2 linked regions of the Rhinolophus ferrumequinum genome follow. The main gene of each other region encodes a partner of the protein of the gene in region 2 in a complex. Links are inferred from orthologs where the notes say so. Each region holds a gene or a part of one and is shown on either strand. Other genes may lie near its edges.

Region 1 (3,747 bases), on a different chromosome or scaffold from region 2:
GCTACTTGGGATCTTCAATTCATAATATGCCCCTCTCCCAATAAATTCCAGATAAATGAAACTTTAAACATCAACAAAAACAAAAATAGGAAAACTCTATGAGAGAAGTGAAAGTTTATCAAATCCTGGGGTTACGATTAAATTTAGGAGAATTGGAAGAAACAAAAGGGAAAATACTGATAGCTGGCACTGTGGGTCCTCTGTGTTTAAAATAATAATAATAATAATAATAATAATAATAATAATAATAATAATAACAACATTAAAAGTCCAAACAGGAAATGTTTCCATTAATTATGACAAAGTAATAAGAAAAATTAAGTACAAACATTAGCCTAGAAGTCTTCTCCAAAAGAAAACAGCACAGTGTGTTCAGAACTTACGAGATCTAGATTCTGCCCCCTTTGTTTTCCCAATACTTCTCCTCTCTAGCACTTTATTCTTTTCAATATACATTCTAGTCTTTCCCATGAAAACAACAAAAATAACAAGAACCAGAGTCCCTTATCACATCCTCCTTTAGCTGCCAACCCATTTCTCTATTCCTTTGCTCATCACAACAAAATTCCAGTCTCCACTTCCTCACCTCCCTTTCCCTTTCCAAAGTATATATCCCACCTTTCAATGTAAACAGCTCTCAAAAGATCAGTGACCTCCAGTGTGTCATCTTATTCCATCTGTCACCATCACTTGACACCGCCCACTCACCTTCATGAGACATTCCCTCTCTTAGCCTCCCTACTTCACTTGCTGTTGTCTTCTAAATCGCTTTTATTGGTGTCTCCTCTACTCAAACTCTAAATCTGCACTGTCCGTAAGGTAGCCCACTAGTCACATGTCACTACCGAGCACCTGAAATGGGAACAGTCTATGAAATGTTCTGTAAAAATAAAATGCACATTGGATTTTGAAGCTTTAATATGAAAAGAGATTGTACAGTTTTGAAGTCTTAGTATGGATTATGAAGACTTCATCCCTGTTGAAATATTTTTGGATATATTCAGTTAAATAAAATATATTCTTCTCACCTGTTACATTTTACTTTTCCATGTGGCTACTAGAAAGTTTAAGACTACATATGTGGCTTGCATTATATTTCTATTGGACAGCGCTGCTGTAAAACGCCAGAAGTATCCTAGGGTTTTGGTCTTGCTCCTCCCCTAGCCTTGCCATTACAGTAAACAGCACCACTATCTATGTAACGGCTCATATTCGGGGCACAGAAACATAGACCGCAGTATTGTTAGACAATGGGAGTGTCCACAGAGCAGAATTCCCAGAATTACTGTCAAGCACGCAAGTGGGGACTCAGCAAGACTGGTCCAGCAGTTCAGGTTTTCAGACGGCGTGATATCTAAGCCCTACATTAGCTTGCTTTGAGGAACTCCACTCTGCCCATTCAAGTTTCTAGTTTCTCTGAAATGTGTGACCAGTTTAAACAACCTTCAACTGGGTCTCTTGTTTTTTTTTTCTCTTTTTTAAAAGGCCATCGTTTGTGATGGTGAAGACTTAGGCAGACCCTAAAATTCTAGTCAGTCCTTGATGGTATGAGAACACCAGCACTGTTTCTCTAAAGAGGGTTAATCTAACAAATATGCTGCCTCTGATCAAAACTTGTTGGAAACAATGCCCGTCACATTAATTCAACAGAGAGGTTGAAATCTGGCACCAGGAAGAAACTTAGCAACAAAACCTGACCCACTTCTTACATAAGTAAGAAAAAATGAAGTTAAGAAAGCTGAAAGACTCGATTCATTCAGATCTTAAAACAAAGAATTCTAAAAAACTCATTAAGCATTAAAAATACTAACCATTCTATAAGCACTCCTTTCAAAACGTTGACCATCTTTTCTTCAGTCAGAAGATGGAGATGACCTTAAAAATGCTAGTAAAAGGGATAAGGTGACATAAAATTCAAAAGCATCAACTTCAATACATTTTGGAGATTTACCTATGAAATGAGGCAAAATGTTAAATAAAGCTTAAACATTTAAGTCTATTAAAGACATAGGGCAAACATTAAGAAAATAGATATTCTGATCTTTTAACAAAATTAAAATCAGTCTATTGGAATAACAATGCATAAATTTTACTTCCAGTTCTACCCAGTCAATCCTAATGAAAACAAGCGGTCTAACTACACCTGTGTGCCGAGCATAAGTTTTAAAACATTAGTCAAAAGATTTCTCTTCCCAATCAGGAATGTGATAAAAGATCCTGGGAGGCAAGAATCACAGAATGATAGCTCTGAAAGGGACCTTAAAAATTATATATTGAGTCCAATCGTTTCGTTTTACAGACAGCCTCCGAACAGATTAAGCAGTTGCTCCCGGCCAAAAAAAAAACCACAACAAAACAAAACAAGCCAGGTCTCCCAGATTTGTGTTACTTTACCAAACAAATCACGTACCCCAAGGATGTTCACTAGAAGGAAAGGAACCCACCCAGTGCACGCCAACTTAACCGTTAAATTTATATACACACGGGCGCGGGGCAATGCCTCCCCAAAGGAAATTCACGGTTCAATTACTGCGGGACAGCCGTCCGGCCTCGTCAAAAAGGGCCCTGAGAGGGTGCGAGACACCGCCCTGTACCCCAGCACCTGGAGGACAGTCTGCTGGGTCTTACCTCCCTCTCCTCTCTTTTTCGGGACCCCTCTCTTCCATGCACCCCACTTTCACCTCTCGCTGGCAGAGCCGACTCTACGTACCTCCACGAAAGGACCAAGCAGCTCCTCAGCGTCGCTGACAGACTGCGCCTGCGCCAGTTACGTCATGGCGTCGGCGTCGCTCTAGTGGGTGGAGCGCGCCGGTGGGAGGCGGGGAGCAGACGGGGCCGAGGGCCCCGGTCGCGGCGCTCTGGGGGCGGGGTCACGTGCCGCCCGCCGCCGGGTGGAGGGCGTGGGCCGGGCGCTGGGGAGGCAGGTGGGCTCTCCGTTGACCAGGTCCGCGGTGAGCGGCTGGGAGCAGGCCAAGTCCACGTGCTGGCAGGTAGGAAGGGGAGGCCGTGCTCGTGGGGGCGGGCGAGAGCGTCAGCCAAGCAGGGCAAAGAGGAGAGCTGGGAGGGCGGCGACGGGGCGCGGCTGGGGAGTGGCCGGGGCGCCCCCGCGAGGACGCGCGGACCCCGACTGACCCGCTGACCCTCCGCGGATGGTGAGGGCCTGTCTCCAGCCTCCGCAGCCCTACTCTTCTCTGGTCGTCGTCCTTCTGTGGTTCTTTTCTGAGGCCCAAAGAGCACGTGCCGATACCTTCAGCCCGGGCGCGGTAGTCGCGGAATGATAGATACCAAGCAGGACGAAACATGTCTCATTCAAATTGGAACCTTCCAGACTCAGCTTCTAGCTCAGACAGTGGAGGTTGAATGGATTGAATGCTAATAGCTTTCTAAACCCGGCAACGGTCATTTTAACGTGAGAAACCCCAGAAGGTTCTAAAATTAATTCCTTTTCCAAATTCTGGTCTGTAGTCCCACACTCTTAGTTATTTTTACCAGTGCAGGTAGGATGGCCATGTTTCTGTTCCTTAGGTTAAATTGTGCTTCCCCAGTTGAGCTCATGCTGCTTTTTACTTCCTGTGTTCATATGATTTACAAACCCAGCTCTTCCATTTATTTCCCTTTTCCTAGTCCTCAAATCTTTTCCTCCTGTTGGTTTCCATGTTGTTGCATGTGCGTGCTCTCCCTCTAATTTGCCCCTAAGTCTAGGTCTTCCCAAGTATCTTTTTTTTAAGTAGTAATTACCATTTATTT
Region 2 (3,747 bases):
GCTTTCTTTTGACACTCCCAATTTGATGAATCAACTTTGCTTTAAGATCTTGCTTCTGTGCCTTAATTAATCCACAACTTGACCACTTAATGAATTCATAAGCAGTATAATTGAAGGAAAATGTGTCTTCTTCGTGAACCATACGCCTAAAGAATAATTTAGCGGAATTAAGTTGAAAAGCCCTCAAAATGCTGATGTTTTTAAAAGTATGTGGGTACAGACACTTTTTGAAATAACCGATTTCCAAATTATTATTTAAAATGCTAAACTTTATTTGAGCTGAAGTTTTTGCCTTTTATGAAATACAAACCAGGAAGTTTGCCCTGGTTTTCAAAAAAGAGGACGTATTTCCAAACTTAAAAACTGGTAAATTAAAGGACCACAGTGGCATTATCTAATGTTTAATTAGAAGATTCCTTTCAAAAATGTTATATTGGTGCAATATTTGAAAGTTGAATTTCTATATTGCATATATTAATACCCAATGCAATAAAAACACTACTTAGAATTTTAATTTTTGTTTAAATCCACTAAGCCCTCTCATTCCTCACAATTCTATACATAAATGTACTGTGGACATAAGGTCGTACCTTGAAACTTAAGCATTAATTTCTTTGAAAAGCTTCGTGTCATTGATATTTATTATAGGAAAGCATAATGAAATACTAGGAGCTATATTTCTAACATTATTTCCTGAATACTTGAACAAATACTATCAAAAGTCCTCTGCGACTAACAGTTAATATAGAAGGCATTTTTTTAAATTCCCGACAATAATGCACACATTTTCTAATACAAGAACACACATTTGAACTAAAATTCTCTTTAAAAACAAAAATAAATATAAAGTATAAAAAAAGGGACAGCAATTCTACTTCCCCCTAGCAAGGACGGCAAATCCCAAATGCTGCACCAAAACAAAAACTTGGGGCTCTGAAAGCAGCCTCGGTTGGATGCGAAATTCCAGTATAAGATCTAGAAATAAACTGAGCTCTGCACGCGCCTGCCTCTCGCCTAGGGAGCACGCACCTCCCAGCCCCGCTCTCAGCAGCTCTCACTATTTAAAGCCGGATCTGGTGTTTAAATGGAGAGGCGGTGACGTAGGCCTGAAAAGCACCTTCCCATCCTGGCAGAGTCTATATTAGAGAGCGGCAATGGCTCTATATAAACAGGGCAGCCAAAGGGAGGAGGACCACAAGGCTCAGGGACTGAAAAGCAGGGTAAGCGGCCGCAGCCATGATGGATCGACCCGAGTCGCCAACGGTACGGAGTCGGGCGGCCGCGGGCTGGTCTGCGGCATTTGGGACCGGGCAAAAACGTGTTTTATTGTCACAATAAAAATAAGAGTGGGGTGGACTAGTGATCACATTGCGTTGGTGACTGAAAAGGTTATTTATGTGACTGCTTTTTGCAAACCTACGTGATCGCAAGTAACCAAAAAGGGACAAACGGGAAGAAGTAGGCAAATTTCAAGGCAAAGCGGTGACACTTTGGCCACTGTAGGCTTTTTTTGTTTGCTTTGGTGCTTTTGCTAGTTGAAGATACGATGGGGGTTTTGCTTCCCCTTCGCCATTTTACCAATTCGGAAGGAACCGAGATAAGTGCTTTTCAACCTTCGTCCTCTTTTTTTAAACATAAAATGGCCCCAGGGAAGGCTCCCTAAGCACAATCGCCAGAAACACCCCAAGTAACCCCCAAGTAGCCATGAGCCTTCCACTGCATTAAAGTGGATCACGGTGGTTTTGGGGATTCGCCCAATTCCCCAGGCGGTTTTTGTTTTGAGGCTGCTCGGGGAGCCCTCCAGCCAGGGCGGCCGGACCCACTTCGGGAGCAAGCGGCGGCTCCCCTCCCTCCGTCCCGGCGGCCGGGGTCTGGAACCGGGGCCGCGCGTTCGCCACGGCCCAACGGCCTCCGCGGCCCCGACCGCCCCGCGGCGGCCCCAGGCCCCGCCGGCGCCCCCGCCCTCCCCGCCGCCTTGAGCCCTCGATGCCCGCCCCCCCCGCGCCCGGCGCCCCGGCCCGCTCCGCCCGAGGCGGGAAGCGGCGGCGGCGGCCGCGCGGGCGGCTAAGAAGAGTCGAGGCCGGGAGTCGCCGCCGTCCCCGCCCCCGCCCGGTCCGGCCGTTGCTGCCGCCTGAACGAAGCCCCCGCCGGCCACCGAACCACGTCCTTACCACGGTGTTTGAATTTGCCGAGTTCGCCATTTCCACACACAACACAAATAAGAGGGGGGCAACCCCGAGAAAACAAGATGAAATCGAAACCAAAAAACGAAAAACAAAAAAAAACAGAAAAAAAAAACACCGGAGGGTGACCCAAGCCACCGCAAGATTGGGGGAAAATTTTTGAAACAAAATCGGATCCTGAAGTAGAGGGGAGCGGTGAGAGGAGGAGGGGGGCAGTCCTCCCGGAGCTAAAAAACCTCGAGAATCGCCCTTAAAAAAAAAAAAAAAAGCCACGACCCTTAGGGGGTCCGGGGGGCGTTGCCCGCTCCCCACCCCGTGCCAAGCAGGGAAACCACCACGTCTCCGCTCCCCGCGCCGCCGCTGCCGCCACCGGCTGCAGCTCCAGCCGTCCGGTCCGCCCGCTTCTCCCCTTTATATAGCGAGCCAACGAGCTGCGCGAGCCGCCACCGCCGCCGCCGCCGCCGAGAGACAGGGCGGAGGGGGAGGGAGGGACGGAAAGGGCGGGGGCAGAGGTGGGCGGGGCTGAGCGCGAGACACCGCGAGAGCCGCGTCGTCACGCGCTCTGGAGGTTGGCGGGCGGAGTCCCGGGACTGGAGTAGTGAAGTCAGATCGCAGCCTCCCCCAATCTCCTGTGATCACGTGGTTGGTACCCAGGCGGAAGTCTCCCGCAGCGCCTTTGGAATGAAGAGCCTGCAAATCCCTGGAAAAGGCGTGAATTCTGGTGATACTCGAGTCCAATGCTAGCTGGGACCGCCTCCTGTCAGGCGTTTCTGCGCCGTCCCGCTGGAAGAGTTGGGAAATGTGGAAGGGGCGGCGACAGCTGCCTCATTAAGAGTGGCCGCGGAGTATGACCGGTCACGTGGCTCACTTCCGGCCCCAGGCGCGCGCGGACTGAGGGCAGAGTTTTAAATGCGGAGTCATCGCCCAGGGGTTCGAGTTTGTTTGGGATTTAGCGCTTCAAGGCGTCTGCGGCTGTCGCCCAGGGTGGGCCTTTCACTCGCGAAATTGTCATGTTCCTAAAAGGGACGAAAGCTGATTTGGGCCCACGGTTAACATTCCAGAATTAATAACTCCTGAAATCTGCTGAGTTGTTTTGTCCCTACCAAAACAACTTAAATGTCTCTGGGTTTAAATTCCTCAAAGGTCCGACCTCTCCTTTTAAATGACTTGTCGCCGTGGTGGGAATGCCAAGAAAACAAACCAAAACACCGACCCCCGGATTGTGACAGCAGGGTAACTTTCCCTGTTTTTCGGTTTTCTTTAAATATTGCCAACATTCTGTGACTCCACATGGCCAACGTGTTGTAATGTCTGAAATACTTGCTCTTGACCGACCAACTCACCTGGACTCTCGCTGCGAGAGCTGGCAGTAAATATCCATGAGTTGGAGTGTGTTTGACCTACTTTGCCCAAGCAAATCCCGCCTTTATATCAACACTTCACGCAGAACAGAGAATGCTCTGTTTAGAAGGCAGAACTCACAGTACCTAATTTTCTTGTCCCTAGGAATTTCGAGACACAGACTGTAGTCTGAACGAACGAGGGAGTTTATCCTCAAAAGACG

The links. Proteins that work in one complex are often made in the same cells at the same time.
Region 1: GTF2A1 (region 2) and GTF2H5 share a complex: the UniProt entries of both Homo sapiens proteins name them as parts of the TBP-based Pol II pre-initiation complex. The link is inferred for Rhinolophus ferrumequinum from reciprocal best matches to the Homo sapiens genes GTF2A1 and GTF2H5.

What each region holds. Positions count from the first base shown.
Region 1 is NC_046286.1:99,936,164-99,939,910, reverse strand, and holds the start of GTF2H5 (general transcription factor IIH subunit 5), read right to left. Parts: upstream 2,805-3,747; 5' UTR 2,711-2,804; exon of another isoform or gene 2,629-2,710; intron 1,886-2,628; 5' UTR 1,847-1,885; coding exon 1,812-1,846; intron 1-1,811. UniProt on the Homo sapiens protein: Component of the general transcription and DNA repair factor IIH (TFIIH) core complex, which is involved in general and transcription-coupled nucleotide excision repair (NER) of damaged DNA and, when complexed to CAK, in RNA transcription by RNA polymerase II.
Region 2 is NC_046289.1:18,547,013-18,550,759, reverse strand, and holds the start of GTF2A1 (transcription initiation factor IIA subunit 1), read right to left. Parts: upstream 2,628-3,747; 5' UTR 2,202-2,627; coding exon 2,172-2,201; intron 1-2,171. UniProt on the Homo sapiens protein: TFIIA is a component of the transcription machinery of RNA polymerase II and plays an important role in transcriptional activation. TFIIA in a complex with TBP mediates transcriptional activity.